Linked DNA regions of Neurospora crassa OR74A. The protein of the gene in region 2 interacts with the protein of the main gene of each other region in a pairwise test. Links are inferred from orthologs where the notes say so. Each region holds a gene or a part of one and is shown on either strand. Other genes may lie near its edges.

Evidence for each region. The genes of interacting proteins can lie anywhere in the genome.
Region 1: the proteins of pex14 (region 2) and cse-1 interact in binary tests that used the Saccharomyces cerevisiae proteins (3 or more experiments, as listed by UniProt). The link is inferred for Neurospora crassa OR74A from reciprocal best matches to the Saccharomyces cerevisiae genes PEX14 and FRQ1.

What each region holds. Positions count from the first base shown.
Region 1 is NC_026504.1:3,558,556-3,568,642, forward strand, and holds cse-1 (neuronal calcium sensor 1), read right to left. Parts: upstream 6,566-10,087; 5' UTR 6,076-6,565; coding exon 6,065-6,075; intron 5,755-6,064; coding exon 5,669-5,754; intron 5,475-5,668; coding exon 5,179-5,474; intron 5,091-5,178; coding exon 4,911-5,090; 3' UTR 3,973-4,910; downstream 1-3,972. Other genes in the region: NCU04380 (acyl-CoA synthetase), read left to right, coding at 699-1,590, 1,652-2,787, 2,852-2,944; NCU04378 (DNA replication initiation factor Cdc45), read right to left, coding at 9,243-10,087.
Region 2 is NC_026506.1:2,096,978-2,106,522, reverse strand, and holds pex14 (peroxisomal membrane anchor protein), read right to left. Parts: upstream 7,054-9,545; 5' UTR 6,640-7,053; coding exon 6,600-6,639; intron 6,520-6,599; coding exon 6,194-6,519; intron 6,138-6,193; coding exon 5,400-6,137; 3' UTR 5,038-5,399; downstream 1-5,037. Other genes in the region: NCU03905 (hypothetical protein), read left to right, coding at 1-187; NCU03904 (hypothetical protein), read right to left, coding at 1,591-1,818; NCU03903 (lipase/esterase), read right to left, coding at 2,628-4,118; NCU03899 (HEC/Ndc80p family protein), read left to right, coding at 7,662-7,712, 7,816-9,545. UniProt on the Saccharomyces cerevisiae protein: Component of the PEX13-PEX14 docking complex, a translocon channel that specifically mediates the import of peroxisomal cargo proteins bound to PEX5 or PEX21 receptors.

The DNA.
Region 1 (10,087 bases), on a different chromosome or scaffold from region 2:
GGACGGCAAGGGCCAAGAGTTGCAAGAAGAGCACGTTAAGACCGCGGCACCTAGAGGAAGCTCGAGCCGCGCATCTGTGTGCTCGACTGCGCTAGCCTGCCTAGCGTCATCTGCCCTGGCCAGATGGCTTTGAAGTGGGGTTCTTGGTGCAGGCTGTGGACCAATGGGCCCCTTGCCAGTCCAAGTGGGCAGTCCCCAAAATGAAAATAACATCCCAACCCCAACTCAGCGCATCCCGTCCGAGTCTCAAGTGGAAGTGCCGCTGTGGCCATCGTCCCGTCCGAGGACCTGGAGAGACAGACAAGAAACTCCTTTTCCCTTCCATCCGTTACTTCCACCTCCATCCACCTCTCTTCTTGTCCTCTCTCCCGTCCTCTTCCTCCGTTTCTCACCTCCATATTATTCTCTCTCCATATCCAAACCACCAACGCCCTCTACGTTGCATTGTTGGTTACCAGACGACTGACGACACGACCTTCCACATCCACACACACACACACACACACACCCCCAAGACCCGCAACCGACACTAGGGCGGGATTCTGTTTAGCGCGACCGCGGTCTCGGCAATCCGTGCATCTCCTCCCCCATTTCTCGATAAAGACCGGCTTCCTCTCCGACAGCGCCCTCCTCCCAACCAACAGAGAAAACCACGCTCTCGAGCTCTACCTACCTAACTTTTAATATCATCGCCCATCATGGTCATCCCAACGTTGACGCCAGTTCCCAAGCTGGTCGCTAAGCCCCCCTATACTCTCGATGTCCCGGGCCAGACGCCCGTCGAGGGCGAGACTCCTGTTCGTCGCATTCCCCTCGCCATCGACGGTCTGCATGCCATACCCCCAAACAGGCGATGGGGCGAGAATGAGGCCATCGGCGAGGAAATCGATACCGTCTACAAACTCGTCAAGTGGGCTGCCCTCGCACATGGCGAGTCCCAGTGCATGGGCTCCCGCAAGCTCGTAAACACCCATGTTGAGACTAAGAAGGTCAAGAAGATGGTGGATGGTGAGGAGCGCGAGGTGGACAAGAACTGGACCTACTTCGAGCTCGGCCACTACGAGTTCATTACCTTCAAGGACTACGAGCAGCTTACGCTCGACGTTGGCGCTGGTCTGCGCGCCATCGGTCTCAACAAGGGCGACCGTGTCCACATCTTTGCCGCGACAAGCCAGAACTGGCTCGCCATGTCTCATGGTTCCGCGACCCAGTCCATGCCCATTGTAACTGCCTACGACACACTCGGCGCCGAAGGTCTCAAGTACTCCATGGTCGCTACCAATGCCAAGGCCATCTTCCTCGACCCCCATCTTCTCCCTACCCTCAACGGCGTTCTTGAGCATGCCAAGGGCATCACACACGTCATCTGGAACAACCAGAACAAGGTCAAGGAGGCCCACATTGAGGCCCTCAGGAACGAGCGCGGTGTTACTGTCTTGAGCTTCGACGAGCTTGTCCAGCTCGGCAAGCAGAACCCCGTCGCGCCCGTCGCGCCCGCCCCTGAGGATCTCTGCTGCATCATGTACACCTCCGGTTCTACCGGTACCCCCAAGGGTGTCCCCCTGAAGCACAGCAACGTCGTCGCTGCCGGTAAGTGGCCGCAAACTCTTATTGTCTTGTTCCTGAACTGCTACTAACGTCCTTGTCACAGTCGCTGGTGTCTGCCCCGTAGTCCAGCCCTTCGTTGGCCCCGGTGACCGCCTCCTGACCTACCTTCCCCTCGCTCACATTCTCGAATTTGTTTTCGAGAACGCCTCCCTCTACTGGGGTTCAACCATGGGTTATGGTAACCCCAAGACCCTCTCCGACACCTCCGTCCGCAACTGCCTCGGCGATATCCGCGAGTTTCAACCCAGCGTTTTGGTTGGTGTGCCCGCCGTCTGGGAAACCGTCAAAAAGGGCATTCTCGCCAAGGTCAACGCTGGCAGCCCTCTCCTCCGCAACCTTTTCTGGGGCGCACTTGCTCTCAAGGAGAAGCTTATGGGCCTTGGTCTTCCTGGAAGCGGTCTTTTGGACGCCATTGTGTTCAAGAAGATCAAGGATGCCACTGGCGGTCGCATGAAGCTTTGCTTGAACGGTGGTGGCCCTGTCGCCAAGGATACCCAAAAGTTCATCTCCATGGCCATCTGCCCCATGATTATCGGCTATGGTCTTACCGAGACGACCGCTATGGGTACCCTCCAGAACCCCAACGAGTGGACTGCTGAGTCAATTGGCGCCATGCCCGCCTCGATCGAGGCCAAGCTCGTCGATTTCGCCGACGCCGGTTACTTCGCCACTAACAAGCCCAACCCCCAGGGTGAAATCTGGCTCCGTGGCCCCTCTGTGCTCTCCGAATACTATGAGAACCCCGAGGAGACCGCTGCCGCTGTGACCGCGGACGGCTGGTTCAAGACCGGCGACATTGGCGAGTGGGACCAGAACGGCCATCTCAAGATCATTGACCGCAAGAAGAACCTCGTCAAGACTCTCAACGGCGAGTACATTGCTCTTGAGAAGCTTGAGTCCATCTACCGCTCCGCCGCCGTCGTCGCCAATATTTGCGTCTATGCCGACCAGGATCGTTCCAAGCCCATCGCCATCATCGTTCCCGCGGAACCCGCCCTTAAGAAGCTCGCCTCCTCGAGTGGTGTGAAGGGTGACAGCTTGGAGGAGCTCGTACACAACAAGAAGCTCCAGGCTGCCGTTCTCAAGGAGCTCCAGAACGCCGGTCGTGCCGGCGGCCTTTCTGGCATTGAGATTATCGAGGGTGTCGTTATGTCGGATGAGGAGTGGACCCCCCAGAACGTGAGTTTTCCACTGTCTACATCTATTTGTTTACCTAACCCATCGCTAACCAAATCAATCACAGGGTCTTGTAACGGCCGCCCAGAAGCTCAACCGCAAGGGCATCCTCAACAAGTACAAGAAGGAGGTTGATGAGGCTTATGGCCCCAAGCAGTAGGAGTTTTGTTGCCACCTACCTGATCTCTCTTGTTGTATATGAAAAAGTACACCCTTGTTTTTGCTGTTCATCTCTATGTCTATGCGTGTCTCGGGGCGCGAATTATGTTTCCACTATACCACTCCTAGTTATTTATGTTACGTTACGTTACTGTTGTCGGCGACGGCCACCGGAAAGGGTTCCTCAGGCCCCTTAGCTATATGTCTGTTATGCCGTAATGGGTTTCTACTTCCTGTTAAATAAGCGACGAACAATTGCGTTGAGATAGTTTTGCCATGTACTTGTGCTACACTACCCTTTTTCTAATTCTTCTAGGGTCCTGGTTTGCGCTGTTTTGCTTGATGAATTTCCTCTCTGGTCTTCCGTCAACAGGAGGATCAGCTCTCTTCTTATTCTCTTCGCTTCCACTCCTTTGTCGGGTTCAAGTTGGGGAAGGGGTTTTAATTGGGGCTCGTTTAATACGAAACGGACGGGCGAGTATCTATCGATGATACCCCATTTTAGTAGCATTTGCTTCTCACGCTGCTTATTGTTGATCGTACACACTGTTATGTTCACCTACGTGGCAAAAGGACACGACGGACCAATTCCCAGTAACGTCTCTTTTGCTTGAGGCAGAATTATATTACCGCTGACACATCCATCCCCTTACACAGACTATATAGAATATAGTCTCGAATATTTCCAAGTGACACCCGTATAAGGTTTGAAGGTGACGGAGTGAGATGTTGAGAGAGATGAAGAACTGCATCAGGAAAGACTAAGAGATAGGTAGGTCAAATGAAGACATAGACGACCATGAATGGGGTAAGCAGAGAAATCATTGCATCACGCATTTGAACGAAAACGGGGGGGGCTTGAATATAGAAAAAGAAAATAACAAAATACGAAAAAAAAAAAATTTAAAAAAATTTACTGTCATTGATATTATATCCCAGAACGGGTTGATCTTGGCGAGCAAGATGACGATGATGTCACTTGTTGGAGTGTTGGCGGTGTTGACTTACAACTAATAGTAATAAAAGATAACCTCCGTTCATGACAAACCTGGCGGTAGGGGAGAGTACGCGGGAATTAGAGAAAGATTACAGTCAACAGCCCGGTTATCACATCATGAAGGGCTCGAAACGGATGAAACATTGAAAAAAAATTGCTAAACCCTCAAAAGAAAAAAAAAAAACCAAGCCTAAAAGTATCCACACACACGACGCGTAAGAGGTAACTTCTGAGTCAAGGTCGTCCATTGTTGCAATTGACCAAGCCGTAGTAGTGTATTCGTTCGTTCCATACCAGCCAGGTAACGCCGTTCATCACGATTTCCTTCTCTTCTTCTTCCTCCTTATTCCGTCTCTATCCCCTCTCACTCCGACTTCCCTTTATGTGCTCTCATGTCCTTCCCCTCTCCCTTCCATCCAATCCGTGTGATCACCAGGTCTGAAATCTCCTCTTTCAAGACCTAAGCCAAGAACAGCACAGCCCCAAAGACCATCACATCCCGGTCGACATCTAGACTAAGAACTGGGCCGAATGGGTGGTACCTAGCGGCGAGGCTCATTTCCGACCACGGAACCATAGATGAGACGCCCCAACAGCATGTGGCCAGCTGTGCTTTCTTCTTATCTTGTCTGATCGATGTATGCGCGCACACTTATCGAGCTGGGCCGAGCCGAGATGGCTGAACCCTCTCTCTTCCCTTCTTTCTCGCAACCATTCCCCTTGTCCATCACGCTTTCCCTGGGATATCTTGCTTCCAAATGAACAACTGATTTCTCTCTTTCTTTTCCACCCTTTATAACTCCAGCTCTGCCTTGTTTCGGGGAGATGAAACTTTGCCTGTTGGCGCTGCAACACACATCAAATCATGCTCCTCCTCTTGGTAAAATTTGCTTCGCCAGACCGTTGCGCGCCGTCCCCCCCTTTGGCTAAACGAAATACCTCGAATGATAATTGATGAAAAGAAACTTGGTTAGACGAGGCCATCGTACAAGGAGAGGGCGGATACGATTGTCTCGTCGCGCTGGCTGCCCTCCTTGAATTCCTTCATGTCGAGGCTGCCGTTTTCGTCCTTGTCCATCATGCGGAAGATCTTGCTGACGCGCTTCTCGGGAGTATCTTCGTCTTCGGGGAGCTTGACCATTGAGCCGACCTGTTTTGAGGGATCAGAATGTTAACGTACAAGATTGCGACGACACGGGAAAGGGCGTAGAGAGATAAGAAAGAAAGGGTAAACCCACCATCTTGTAGATAGCCTCAACGATCTTGAGCATCTCGTCGTAGGTGATCTTGCCATCGCCGTCAATGTCGTACAATTGGAAGGCCCAGTCGAGCTTGTCCTCCATCTTGCCGCGGCTCGTGACGCTCAAGGCGCAGATAAACTCCTTGAAGTCGATGGTGCCAGACTTGTCCGTGTCGAATACGTTAAATACGTAGTCGGCGAATGACGATGGGTCGCCAAAGGGGAAGAACTGTGCGTAGATCTTCTGGAACTCGGCCTTGGTGAGCATGCCGGAGGGGCAATCCTTGAGGAAGCCTGTTTGTGAATGAACTTGTTAGAGGCCGTCTATGAAGCGAAAGATTTGGTTGGCAACGAGGGCGCATAGCAAGCGCTTTCGATGGGGAGACAGCGCCGCATCGGTCAGGGCATGTAATCGTTGGCGGCGACGGCGGCGGTGTTCAAAGGGGTCGTCGGCGATAGGAGAAAGGGGACGGGGATAGGTAACACACCCTTATACCATTGCTGCAACTCCTTCTTGTCAAAGTGGGTGGCCTTTTCCAACTCCTCCAGCTTATCACGCTCGAGCTTGCTCTGCCTGTGTCGGGCGGGGTTCAGTGTCAGCCTCTTCATCTTGCTTTCAGTTTTGGGAGATTGCGCAGAGAAACGACTCCTGCTAAAGAGGCCCATTGTATGATATGTAGAATTGAGTGAAGGACGGGGTAGGTCGACGGTAGAGGAGACTTCAGCAAAACGGATCACGGTCCCTCCTCCACTGCTGAGAAACAGGTGTGCGGTGCGTATTGATGATGATGATGATGATGATGATGGGATGCGGAGAAAGCGGTCGGGTGGTGGGTGCTGATCGGGCAAGAGTCGCGGAGATTTCGGGGGACTTGGTCACTCACGATTTGCCCATTTTCGGATAACTCGGTACTATTTAGCAAATGCTGATGTCGTTCGCAAGGTGGTCCCACGATGCGGCGGTTCGAGGGAAAGGGGTCACTCGGAATGGCGTCGCGTACGGGGTTGGCGCCGAAAGGTCGGAGGAGGGGTTCGGTGACGATCCGTGGGTTTTCTCTCAGGGATACCGTTAACGTTTGTAATTGACTTGGTCGTAGGTAACGAGACGCTGTGTGAAGGGCAAGACGGTGCTCGAGCGATGGGAGCAAGCAGCCTTGTATGGTGGATTTATATTGTCGTCGGCCGATAGGATAGTTCAAGTAGCAGACTCGGTAAGCGGCAATCAGTGAGTGGCCTTGGGGTTGCACCGAAGAGTGAAGAGAAGTAGATAGGAAAAGATGTCGAGGTGTTGGGTTGTAATGGCAAAAAGAAAAAGAAATGGGATCGATGGATGAGCAGGTCTAGAGAGGTATTGGCAGCACAGGAGTGTCAGGGTGCAAGGCGAGAGGCAGGGCAAAATGCGCGGGAGATCGGAGGTGATGACGGCGGCAGTCTGGCGAGATGGGCGACCTTTGATGCAGTGCCCTGGAGCTGCTGCACTAACTGCAGCTAACCACTGTAAGTGCCCTGGCCGTTATTAAAATGTGGAACTAGGGTGACTAGCAGGGGACCATATGTTAGCCAGGAGGTAAGGAACACCCGACCGCTCGAACCTGACGGGAACCTGATCCGCCCGCTCGTTTCGTGCGGCGCCTCACTTCCAGGTTCGACTCCCTCCCATCCATCGATTTGACGCCGGGCCTGGCATGGAGAGGCCAGGCTGTTTCTGACTCGAGTCATCGTCTTTTGCTTGAGAAAGCTGCCTTGTACCTGCTCATGCTGCTGTGGTACACTACTGCCGACGCAGCATCATTTCCATCGATGCGGACTTTTTTCCGAACATTCAGCTTGTTCTCCAGCATGTGTGTTTCAGACTTTACGTGGGGCCCTCACTCCCCTCTCCCAAGGAACTCGGTTGATATTCGCATCCATTTGCAAAGAGGGGCAACGGGCGGGATTTCTAATAACTGGGACAGGGGCTGCACGGCCAAGGAACAAATTCGATCGGGTTCTGGACGTTTGGGTGTAGGTAGGCAGCGCATGCGCCAGCTATCATGCCAGGTTGGCTGGAAAAACTGCTGCTCTCTGATTTGTCGGGCAGGGAGCCCAAGTGACAAGAAGGGCAGGTCTCGAGAGCCCGCGCCGGAGGATGGGAGCGCTGGGAGGTAAACGGAGGCCACCATTCAACCAAACCAACATCAATCGGCAGCCCAGATCCGTACGATGAAGAGATAGGATTGGGGAGGCGACTTCGGAAAAGACACTTTCTGGCAAGATATACTTCAGAGTGATTCTAGCGCCGCCATCCGAACAACATGTACTTCCTCCAGGACTAAACTTTCGAGCCGGAGCCCGGAGGAGTACTTACTACCCATGCCCGGCGGCCGGCTCATCTCACTTTTTGGGGTGACAGTGGAAGTAAATGATATACAAGTAGTTTGCGCTCGATGTCAAACAGCAAACCTCTTGACACCGAATTGCGCAAATTCGACCGCGTTAATGTTCTGTCCATTATATTTAAGCACCATATGTAACCGACGGGCCTGGTACCAACAATTCTCCTTGGTACCATTCTTGAGGCTCTGTCTGCGACACCCAATCATCCTTCGCTTCGAGGAGGCCCAAAGCCCAAAATGAGAAGTCGTTCGCCCCACTTCGTCATAAACGGTCGACCACTTGAATACCTACCAACTTTAATAACACCAAAGATGTAAGGAAGTCTATTGTCGAACATGATTAAAGGTCATTGACATTCTCTCTTCCAAACCCCTCCACCTGATCGGACCTCCACGGCGGTCTGAGAAAAACAGGTTGTTCTTCAGCTCCTTTGCACCTTTGCGACTTTCCTACTTGGAAGATAGTGCCGGGACTGACGTAGTAAGGAAAGGAGGCAGTGCAAAGCCCGCCAAGACATTGACTGGCTCGTACCGATCCAAACAAATCCACTTGAATCTGTCCTCTCTCCTCAGAAGAGACGGGATCTTCCTTCTTGTGGTATGTACAATGGGGTATGTAGGCAGACGATTCCGGTCTAAGGAGAAGGGAGAAAACTCTGGTGTAACAAAAAGGCCTTCTGGAAGATCGTGAGAAAAAGAGGGAAAAGATAACCGATGACGAAAGGACTACTACTATGTAACAAACTCCGATATAACTCCACTTTTTCTGTTTCAACACCACAAGCTTCACTATGTATACTAGTACCTACCTACATACCTCTACCGGCTGTCAATAAACGACGTCAATCTCTATGCCAACAATACTGAAACCCTTTAGTCATTTACAAAACATTTGAACCAAAACCAGCATTGATTGCTACATATAAACATCACCGCTCCATCACTATCTGGAGGTAGCCAAGTGGTCGACCAGACTACCATAGTTTAGTGTCCCTGAAGCCTCAAAGGCTCAAAGGGGGCAGTGCCATCGTTGCCTGTTTGGTGGAATGCTGTGTATGTGAGGCGAGAGACTCATAGTATGAGCCTAGCAGAGGCGAAGAGAGCACAGAGGAAGAAAGAGAAACCGGGCCGAGTTTACCATTATCTTGGAGTTACGAGGTTCATTTTGCGGTCGGCACATCTGTCCACAAGTATGTCCAAAATGAAAAGCAGAAAGAAAACACATAAGAAACAAACCGATTTTGGAGAGTAGCTGAGATTTGGTATTTCGCCCACTGCATGTTATGTAAATGAATATACCGTATGACTACAGCGGTATAAGAGAAAAATATAAAATAAAAAAAAATGAAAGGGCGTTCCAGCTGTTGCTTAAGCCCCATCTGCTTGGACGAGCATTTTCCATTTATGCATGCACATTGCTGAAGGTAGCTCAATCATTCGAGCCTCAATACTATAAGTGCCTACATTGCATGTACGTAGCTCGGCGTGCAGCTCAATCGTCCGAGCCTCAATGCGATGCCATGCCATTCCAGCTCTCAAATGAGTTGTTCTGGCTCTTCCGACCGTTCTGTTGGACACAGGTATGAACTCTTGCCACTCCCCCTGGTCAAGTAAACAAACCCCCTTTGACGCCCCCCCATGGTTTTTTTTTTTCCCCAGAATTAGCAAACCCAAACTTTTCCTTCCTTCACCCAATGACGACTTTCATGCTGAGACTTTCCAAGAAGCCACTAAGATCCTCCTTCTTGACCTCCACGACGCAGTGCTCAAAGCTGTCGATGCGCACTCTGGCATTAGTCTCCGCCACCACGTCTTGGAACGCTGTTCCGAATTTGTTGAGGCCGTAGCCCCTTTCAAGTTCCTGATCGAGCTCGTCCTCGTCTTCGTCCGACTCATCATCGTCGTCCGAGTCCGTATCAGAGAGATCCGAGTCGTCGTCACTATCTTCCTCGTTGTCCTCCTCCTCGTCCTCATCGCCGCCGGCGTCGGACTTGGCTTTCTTTTTCTCTTCTTTTTCCTTTCTCTTGGCCTCCTTCTTCTCGGCCTTGATCTTTTCCTTGATCCTTCTCTGCATCTCCTTGGCTTTAGCTTTGGCCTCTTTTTCTTCGGCTCGCTTCTTGGCCGATTCACGATCGAGAAACTTTGTGTCTGGCCCACCGCCGCCACCAGTACCGACGACAACATACACTCCGCGCTTGTCATCTAGACTAGCCACTACGAGAGGTGTGCCACGACCGCCATGGGCGAGCCTCCCGCCAGTGGCTTCTTTTTCCTGTTCCGCGAGTGCTTCACCGATCCAGAGCGCTAGCTTGGTCAAAGCGCCGGGGTGGTTGAAGAGTGTCGCATCTGGTGAGTCCTTGACCACGCACATGCGAAATGCGCGCAGATGAGATATTTGTTTCTTCTTCAAAATTGTCGTGCCAGTGGTGAAGATGGCCTTGTGTAGATACTGCGCCGTGGGAAGGCCAGCCTTAAGGGCCTCGATGTCCTCCAGCGCATCATACGCCTCCCAGAACCTGGGGATCCACTCCT
Region 2 (9,545 bases):
AGAGATTGATATGGACGCCTTGTGCTCCGATCTGCAGAAGAAAGCAAAGTGCTCTGGCTATGGTGCTGTGGTTGATGAGAAGGAGTTCAAGAGTGTTCTGAAAAAGCACCTAAGTCCTGAAGCAATGGCGAGGTGCGAGAAGGACTGTGAAGAGGAAAAGGCACGAAAAGCAGCTGCCACACTGTAGGAGTGGCTCGCTTACATGCTCATGACTGCATAGAGAAAGTTTTCTCTTGATTCAGAACGACGTCTTCACGAGTACACTTGTCTCGATTTCTCAGATGGCATCCCACGATGGATGGCATTTTCTTCTTCCTCGCAATACGGATTTTATTCGGATCTTAAAGTTGAACAAACCTTGGACGGTCTTGCGTCCATTGGCTCGTTTACAATCAAGCGTGGGAACACATCACGAATACTGGCTAGGAGTTTACAAGATACCAGAGCATTTACAGCGTTGGGAAAACGGGCTTCTAGGTCCTGGACGGGTCGAGAGCGGGGCCGGTTACCCTTTCCTTCTGGTAGCATGGGTCACTCGGTTGACGCACTCTATGAGAATACTCGTGCTGGTATGCGAATGGGCAGTCCATTGTTGGGTGTCATAAAACCACGGAGGTGCGCTTGGACTTCACAGTAACTAGCAGGATAGTGAGGGGATCCGGAGTTTTGTCGGCTTTTTGATCTATACCAAGGGTCGGTCTCGAATTAGACCACATGACTTTGAGTCAACGGGTTTAGGATTGCATACGGCTTTGAGCGGAATGGTATCTATCTTATTGTATCCCAATAAACCACTCTTTTACTTGCTCATGAAGCATGACATCAGTAGTTAAGCTAGAAATAATTAGTGTTCGGTTCATCATGTCGTGGTCCCGTGCTTTCGCCTGTCCCTTTTTTTTTTTTTTTAGAGATTCACGTTTCCCCTGGGCGTCACTTAGACACCATCCATAGTCTGCTCTTGACCTTCCTCCACCTCCACGCGAACTCACCCCATCATCACTGTAGCTATAACCATTTCCTGCGAAGTGGTGGTCTGCTGAGAGCTACTTCAAGATATGGCATGATTACATGTAAGCGACAATCTCGTGATCCCTGTAGACAAGCGAGGCTTTCAGGCTTCTTCATACTAGGAATGGGGGAGTTGTGAGGATATGAACTGATAGTTTCAGGCTTGGAAAGAGGCAATCACCGTTTTACGTAGGCATATCAGAACACGACAGTACACGCAATAATACATTAGTGATGGTCATTGGTGGTGGTCAAGGCCAAATTCAAACCATGCTACAGAGGGGAGCCTTTCGGACATCTGTTAACCTTCCCAAAACTATATCTTACAAGTTACCCTCCTTCTCCAATTCCTTCGGTCCCAGATCCTCTTCTTAATTTCCTACACCATCAGGTTCCAGAGTCTCTCGGAGCCATCCCACTTCCCTCCTGTTCCTTGGCGTTCACACATAAACCAGCAATCGGAGTTCCCCTCTCCCTGAGAGAATACACCCAAAGCCCAATGAAGTCGTCAAGCACAAGAGGTATCAAACAAGAACGGGCAGAGAGAACCCAATTCCCTTCAAGCCACCCTCGTCAGCTCGATCAAGCACCTCCGTCCCGCTTGGCATACTCCTCCTCCATCCTCTCCTCATAAAGCCGATCAGCTTCCAACTCAGCCTCGGTCTTGGGCCTGCTGCTGCCTGCTCCGGTGTTCACTCCAGCGCCGGTGGGCCTTTGGTGGGAGGAAGACTCATGCTCATGCTCCTTCTTGTCCTGAGCGGGCATGGAGGCGTTGGGGATGTTGGAGGTGGTGGTGTCGGAAGAAGACATCTTGGTGATGTGTTTTGGGGTTTGGAAGGGGTTGTTGTTAACTCAATCGACTCGAGTGTCAGAGGTGGAGATACTGCTTGAGCTTAATACAGTGATGATTTGGCCGGGTGGGGTGATTTAAAGTGGCTCCTGATTTGGTTGGAACTAATAAATAGACTCGAAGGAAATAGGCGCTTGTTGTGTGATGATGAAGATAGGAAGCGAATCAAATATACCCGTTGGGGAGAGTGTCAGGTCAAGAAAGACAACGGAAGGGCTGCCTCATGTGGCAAAGGTGGCGAGCATTGTGGCTACGCAACACCTGTATTGTACACGTCTTTTGGGGGTAATTGGGGTAACATCTCGCCGTATATACGACGGAACTTGTTCCTGCTTCTTCATGATTTGATGTCCGCTACAACTCGGCCGAACTCCATAGTCTCTAAGTCTCGACCCTTGGCATTTCCACTGGGTGCTTAGATAAGGTAGCAACGGGCTTTTTATGTTGATAGAACGTTACTTCAAGTGGAAGATGTTGATAGTGGGGTTCACCTGGAGATCCCGGTAAGTGATGAGTATACGACTAACACTTGCCCGCTTCGAGACATCTCGGAAGACGTTGGTCAGCATGTCTACAAGTGTATGAACAAAAAGGCGCAGAACAATTCATTCAGAACTATCATAAGGTAACATGCATACATGATCCATATGGTCAGCAAGATCCAAGCCCCTTTTATGTGTATAATGTCAACACCGATCGCCGACGCCCTAGTCACCCTGCTGAGCCTTATGCCCAAACAACCACACACGATAATTCACCAACCCGACATTCAAAGTTTTGCGAGATCTCCCTCTGAGGCCGGCACGCATTTTAACTCTATCCTCCTCCTCATCTTTTCTCTAATCTCCTCCTCCGTATAGGGGCTCAGCGTCATAGGATCCAGCTCCTTCTCCTCCAGCGTCCCCGACTTGATCGTGGTAAACGTGCTCCTCATCGCGCTCCGCTTATCATCAGCACCATCAAGCCCTCCCTCAGAGGCAGTCGAATTCGTGACCCTTGCGATAAACCTCGACCACCCCTCCATACACCTATCCGCCTCTTTCAAGTTCTTCAACACCATGGCAAAGCAATGCGGCATGCCCTCGTACTCCTCAAACGTCACAGAAACCCCTTCGGCATGAAACCTTGCTGCCGTGAACTTGTCCTCGTCCGACAGCATCTCCCAACCCGTGCAAATGTATGTCGGCGGCGCACCACGCCAGCTGGGTGCCAGCAAAAGCGACACAAGCGGGTGCATGATGTAATCGTCGGCGACGTACATGCTCATGCGCGGCGGATTCGTGGGCCAGGCCGAGCACGGGGCGCGCAACTTCTCGGCCTTGTCCTGCGCCTCGAGGCCAGGGAGGTAGTCGAAGGCACCGTTGGTGACACACGACGGCGAGCTGTGGGTGATTTCTATCCAGGGCGAGTTGACGGCGACGCCGGCGGGTAGGGGGATGGAGCGCTCATGGCCGAGCCAGAACACGGTGGTGCCGGAGCGTTGCAGTTGCATGATGAGCTGGAGAAGCGCGAGCGAGAGATTGCCGCCTGCGCTGTCGCCGGCGATGACGATGTGCTCTGGCTTCACGGGCTCGTGGAATGCCTCGGGCGGTGGGTAGAGCAGGCCGAGGTACGAGACTAGTGCGTCCATGACCGCGGCCGGGAACGGGTTCTGCGGCGCAAGCCGGTAACGCACCGAGTAACACCTGCCGCCGGTCCGCTTGGCTAGTTCTCTGCATGTAGGCCTGTGTGTGGCCGGGTCCATGAGCCAGTAGGCGCCGCCGTGAAAGTAGAGTATCGTGGTTGGGGCTTTTACGTCTTTCATCATCTCGTCATACTTCTCCCGTTCTGGGATATCGGGCAGCTTCGCATCTTTGGGCACACCCGGCCTGTGTGCTGTCCACTCCGCCTCCACAGGAAGAACTTCTGGTACTTGGATCCTGGCCGTCTTCGGTTGGTCACGGTCTTGAAGCCCGTCGATGGCCTTGCTCAAGGTGTCATGGATGGCGCGCGCATCCTCCTCCGTGGGGATGGGCAGAGTGTACTTGCTGACCCATATCGTGCCCCGGATCGGGGGTACTCTTGAGAGCATCTTTTGGGTAAAAGTGATGCTCCTAGGCTTGGGCACGTCCATGAACGAGCGGAGCATGGCAATAGTGAGTTCCGTCCGCAAATCCTGGTATTTTGACGCCGGTGAGGCCTGCAACATGTGAAGCAGAGCCACCCGGGCCATCAGCGGGAGCTTGGATACCAGCTGGAGAAAGAGAGCGGTCTTGTCCATGGCGGCGGGCTTCTTGGTGGGTTTAGAGGTGACGGATGGGTTTGGGTGTTGGGGTCATGGTATCAGATCAACAGGGGCGAGTTCTCTTCTTATATTAGACCCCGAGATCCATAATAACAATGGGGCATTTCGGGTATCTAGGGATTCCGTTTGTGTTGTAACAGCCTGTAGGCGCTCCTTGTCTAATCATCTTCTTGAGCGCGTCCGCGTGGAGATTGGGGAAGGCTTGCGAGCGCAGATATCTCAGCGAATCTGCGGGGTGGTAATATCATTTATCATTATATCCGGCAGGTGGTTAAGAAAAAGAGCGAGTTGTGAGAGCTAAGCGAAGAACAGCAATGCAGAAACAATACGTATCCAGAGCGACGGACTTGACTTGCATCCCCTTTGTGGCCAATATCCCCTTCGGGTTTGGGCGAGACGAAGGCGCTATGAGAACATTGGCACAGGAAGAAAGGGATGATGGGTGGGGTCAATGTTTGGTTCCAAGCAAGCATTGCCCGATCAAGTAATAGCTACGAGGACTATTAGATGCGATTGGAAACTGAACCATGGCACGAAGGTGTATGTACCTTGAACCCGGGATGTCTTAACAGAGAATATTCCGCATCCGACCTCTCGGGTACGCATATGCTACGCTGAGGTAATGATTTGGCAGCGACATCAATACCTACACTACAATGTATCCTTTAGTTCTCTACAGAGGCCGCGGTGTTCTGACTGTACCGATGTGGCTGAAAGTCCTGAATAGAGGGCGACATAACCAAAGCCAGTTGTCCCTCTTTGACCGTTTGCGCATCTCTATTCGATCATGGCTTTTTTTTTTTTTTGCCCCTCCCCTCCAGTTTTTTTGGGTGGCTGAGGACAATAACCAAAAATTTGTCTCGGCAATGCCATAGCAGCGGTCAAAATAGTGAGGCAGAAATACTGGGCGGTCAGGTGTACGGGATGTCTCAGATCAATTCACGGCCTAACCTTATAAGATGTGAAAATGGTAGCTTTTGATATCATGCTCTAGGAAAATGCCATGCAACGTCCGCGCTTAAAGACCTTGCAGAAATACAAACGCGCTATCATGGAAAGGGGACTGAATGAGGTTGTCCCATGCTTCACAAGTGCTCCTGTGTATTGTCCTGCTTGAACAACGTACAGGAGCTTTATTACTATACAGAAAACCAGAGGGAGTCGCTCACTTTGGCCTTATGCTCATGCCGATTAATGTATCCAGGTTTCCCAGTTCCGGTGCTATTTTATCTTTGTGCCTGACTGGAGAACAGCTTTTTAAGCGGCTTCGTCGCCTCCGTTGCTGCTTGAGCCATCGTTTGTAGTACCGTTCGTGACTCCGACAGTCGAAGCCGACGCGGTTTTGTTGGCCATGGCCAACTGCCAAGCAGGGATAGTCGGCTTGCCTGCAGAGGCAATTCCGCTGCTGAAAGGCGAAGGCTTGGGGGCAGCAGGTTGAGCGAACTGCTGTTCCTGCTGGTATCTGGATTGCTCATCCTGCGCACTCGCGGCTCTGCTGTTTAAGTCTCCGTTCTCACCGCCGAGGGCTGGCGTGGCAGGGGCTGAAGAAGGAGTGGCGTTTCCGTTAGTATTGGGGCGAAGGTAGTTGTTGACGCTCGTCGAGGTGGCGGTTGGGTTCATGCGTTGCGAGATGAGGGTCTTGAGGCTCTTGAGTTCGGTATTGAGTTCGCGCAGCCTGTTGTCGGTCAAGTCCTTCTGGTTGTTGAGTGCCCTTGGAATCGAGTCCCTGAGATTTTGCACATCGTCCCGTACTCTCTGTGCTTCGTCGTCTCTGCGTCTGTTGGCTGCCTTGAGGTCCCTGACGACAGTCTCCAGCTCCTCGAGGGCATTGTCGAGTCTCTCTGTCCTTTCCTGCTCCGAGGCCTTGAGGATTTCGGTATCCTTGGCCAGCTGCTCAACCAGTTGGAATGTTTTGTCGAATTGTTCGTCGATGGACTTCTTGTCCTGCTCGAGACGCTCCGGCGTGGGAGGAGCAATCAAAGGATACACATAGCGCTGCCGAACGGTTAGAATTTCCTTTTATGTACATTGCACGGTGTTCGGCGGCCTACCTTGCCGAGATTGTATAGGCCGTACGACGCGCCTCCGACTACGGTCGCCAAAATGAACAGGTCCCTCCAGTCCCGCCTGACACCGTCGGTATTCGATTGCGGCCATGCGTATGGGGGATAGCCATAGTACTGCGGAGAGCCACCCTGTGCTGCGACGGGTCCGGCCGACTGCGCATAGGCGGGCGACTGGGCGTACGGTGGCGGTGGACCTCCTGATTCGGCGCGGGCGAGAGCAGCGCTGACTTCTTCCTGGGTGAGGTTCTTTGCTTGGAGAAAGGCTATCCGCTTCTCGATTGGCGAGGCGGCGACACTGGGGTCTTGAAGAACTGTGGTGTTGTTGTCGGGTGAGATTCTGGCCTGGCAATGTAGAGGAGGTAGCAGGGGACAAGACAGGGGCAGAACATACACTGCGCCGCCGAAGCGACCAGGTCCTCGCGGATGGCCATGACTGATGTTGTTTGATCGAAATGCGGCAGATGGCGTTCCCTTGTTGAGACTGGGCAGACGAGAGGAAAGAAGCAGACAGCTGAAACAGTCGCGACGCGATGGCAGACGGCGGCGGTTGATGGAATGATTATCGAAGGACGGGAGGCTGAATGCGATAGATGAAGTGGAAACGAACTGACTGGCAGCGGTTCGGGGGATGGCTGGGCCGCTGGATGGAGTCCTGAAGCCGAGGTTCACGGGACCGGGGGCCTGATTGTACACTAGACGTGGACTGCTAATAGCACCTTAACAGCTTCGCATCACTTGCACCCCCAGCACACTCGTGGAGGCATGCTGATCAGATAAATCACTATCTCCTCCCCTGACTCTCCTTTTCCTCCGACAGGCCTAGAGCGCAGCTGAGCATCCATTCCATGCAGTGACTGGCTCAGAGACGGGAGTGCAGAGCTGAAAAAGCACTGACCTGAAGCGAGCCAACACTCACCCTCAAGGTCGCTTTTGGACCCACTCCCGTCATTCACCTGCCGTCCCGATGCTTGGGGACGAGAACTGGAGTGCACTTGGCACTGTTCAGCCCAATGATTTCCACAGCCCCACCCACGTCGCCTTTCTTTTGTTTACTCTTCCTGACGGAGCAACCTCCCCCACCATCCGCAGAAGTCGACAACCTAGTCCCGTCTACACTACGGTGTCTTAATCTACCTACATACCTATGCTGGCCTGCATTAGGTTGCTGGCCGTACACGTACTTTTATCGCTACGACACGACGAAATCCGCGACTGCGGTTATGCATTGATTTCTGTCAGAGCCGCGAACACGTACCCACATTAACTCGAGCGCATACCTTAGCTCTACAAAGCTATCCGACATAATCACCACCAAGAGAATCATCGCCGACATCGATCCGACACAGTTGCACGTAGTGTAACACTCTTTTGTTCGCTTGCTTATATATTATCACGGAAACCACGCGACTAGGACGGCAAAAGGGAGGCGCACATTGACGAGGCCTTTGCCGTCATGTCGCAAGACAGCAACGCAGGCCTTTGGAGTGTTCGACGGCCAAGGGAGGTGCGACTTCCCCCCGTGACTTTCTTTGCGGCGTGTTTCCTCGGTCGAAACCTCTCCCCATCCGACGCGACCATGCACGATATTGACTCTGCTCTCTCTGTAGACTCTCCATGGCGTCAACCTCACGTCGGGCATTCCGGCACCACCCTCCACACTTAAGCGACAAAGCACCATCGGCACAATAGGAACGGGCCATGGTCGCTCTCTGTCGGGGAGGCAATCTCTGGCCCTCCCGCGACCGAGCCAACCTCTGTTCCAGCGATCCTCCGACATTGGCCTGGGCTCGGTAAAGCGCGCGTCGGTTCATAACATGAACACGTCGCAGTTCAAGCCCTATGGCACCCCAGGCAGTTCCGGTATTCCTCGATCATCGCAAGAACTCGACCGGCGAAGCAGCGTCTACCGCCCAAGCGCACGACCGTCGGCCGTCGGCGGAGGTCCCTTAGCTGGTGGGCATATGAGCTTCTTCCAGCAAGCGCCCCAGCCCGCCGGCGTGCCTCGCGATCCGCGCCCCCTCAAAGACCGTCAATTCCAAAATCGCATTGGCCAGGAGTTGCTCGAGTACCTCGCCAAGAACAATTTCGAGATGGAGATGAACCACAAGCTGTCCGACAACTTCACAAAGTCGCCGACACAGAAGGACTTCAACTACTTGTTTCAATGGCTTTACCACAGGATAGACCCGAGTTACCGGTTTCAGAAGAATATCGACCAGGAGGTACCACCATTACTCAAACAACTGCGATACCCATACGAGAAGAGCATCACCAAGAGCCAAATCGCCGCGGTCGGAGGTCAGAATTGGAGCACCTTCTTGGGATTACTGCACTGGATGATGCAGTTGGCACAGATGCTCGAAGGATACGCCCGACACCAGTACGACGACGCCTGTATGGAAGCCGGGGTCGACATTGCGGGCGACCAGATCATCTTTGATTTCCTCACCAGCGCATACCAGGATTGGCTCAATATGGATGACGAAGCAGGGGATGAAGACGTGGAGAGGGCACTACAGCCGCATGTGCAGGGAATGGCGGAGGCTTTTGAACGGTCAAACGCAAAGTACATCCAAGAACTGGAGATTCTCGAAGGGGAAAACGCCCGCCTGCTAAAGGAGATTCAGGAGCTCGAAAAGTCGACACCCGACCCGGCCATCTTGGACAACCACTTTAAGATTATGGAGGAGGACAAGATCAAGTTTGAAGAGTACAACACTCTAGCCATGCAGCGGACAGAAAAGTACGAAAACCGTATCCAGGTTCTCCGGGAGGAGCTGGGCAAGTTGCACGTGGAGCTGAAGGAGGCCGAGGAGGAGCGGCGACAAATGCAAAAGGCGGTGGACGACCAGGGGATCAGCATGCAGGATATTGACCGCATGACCTCAGAGCGGGAACGTCTTCAAAGGAGCATCGAGTCCGCTTCCCAGAGGCTCGAAGACGTCAAAAAAAAGGTCGCCGAGCGCGAGATGGAGGCGAGCCAGCGTCTGGACGAGCTCGAGCGGCTGGTTGAAAAGTACAACACGGTCGCCTACCAGATCGGACTGATCCCAGCCACGGCAGTCAATGCCAAGGGGAAGAATCTTGAACTGCAGGTAACTGTAAACGAGGGAACGCCCAACTTTGCTTCATCGATGCAAGGTGTATTGGGGCCAAACGGGCAGCCACTGGGCGGCGTGGAGAATGAGAGGTTGCTGGCCGACTCCACGACGGGATACCAGCCTGCGCATATCCTGAACCTGGATCTCCGAGGCCAAGTTAAGAACACCTTCCTGGCACTCAGGAAGGAGGTCTCGGAGAGGAGAAAGGTAGCTATGGATGTCATGATGGAAGACCA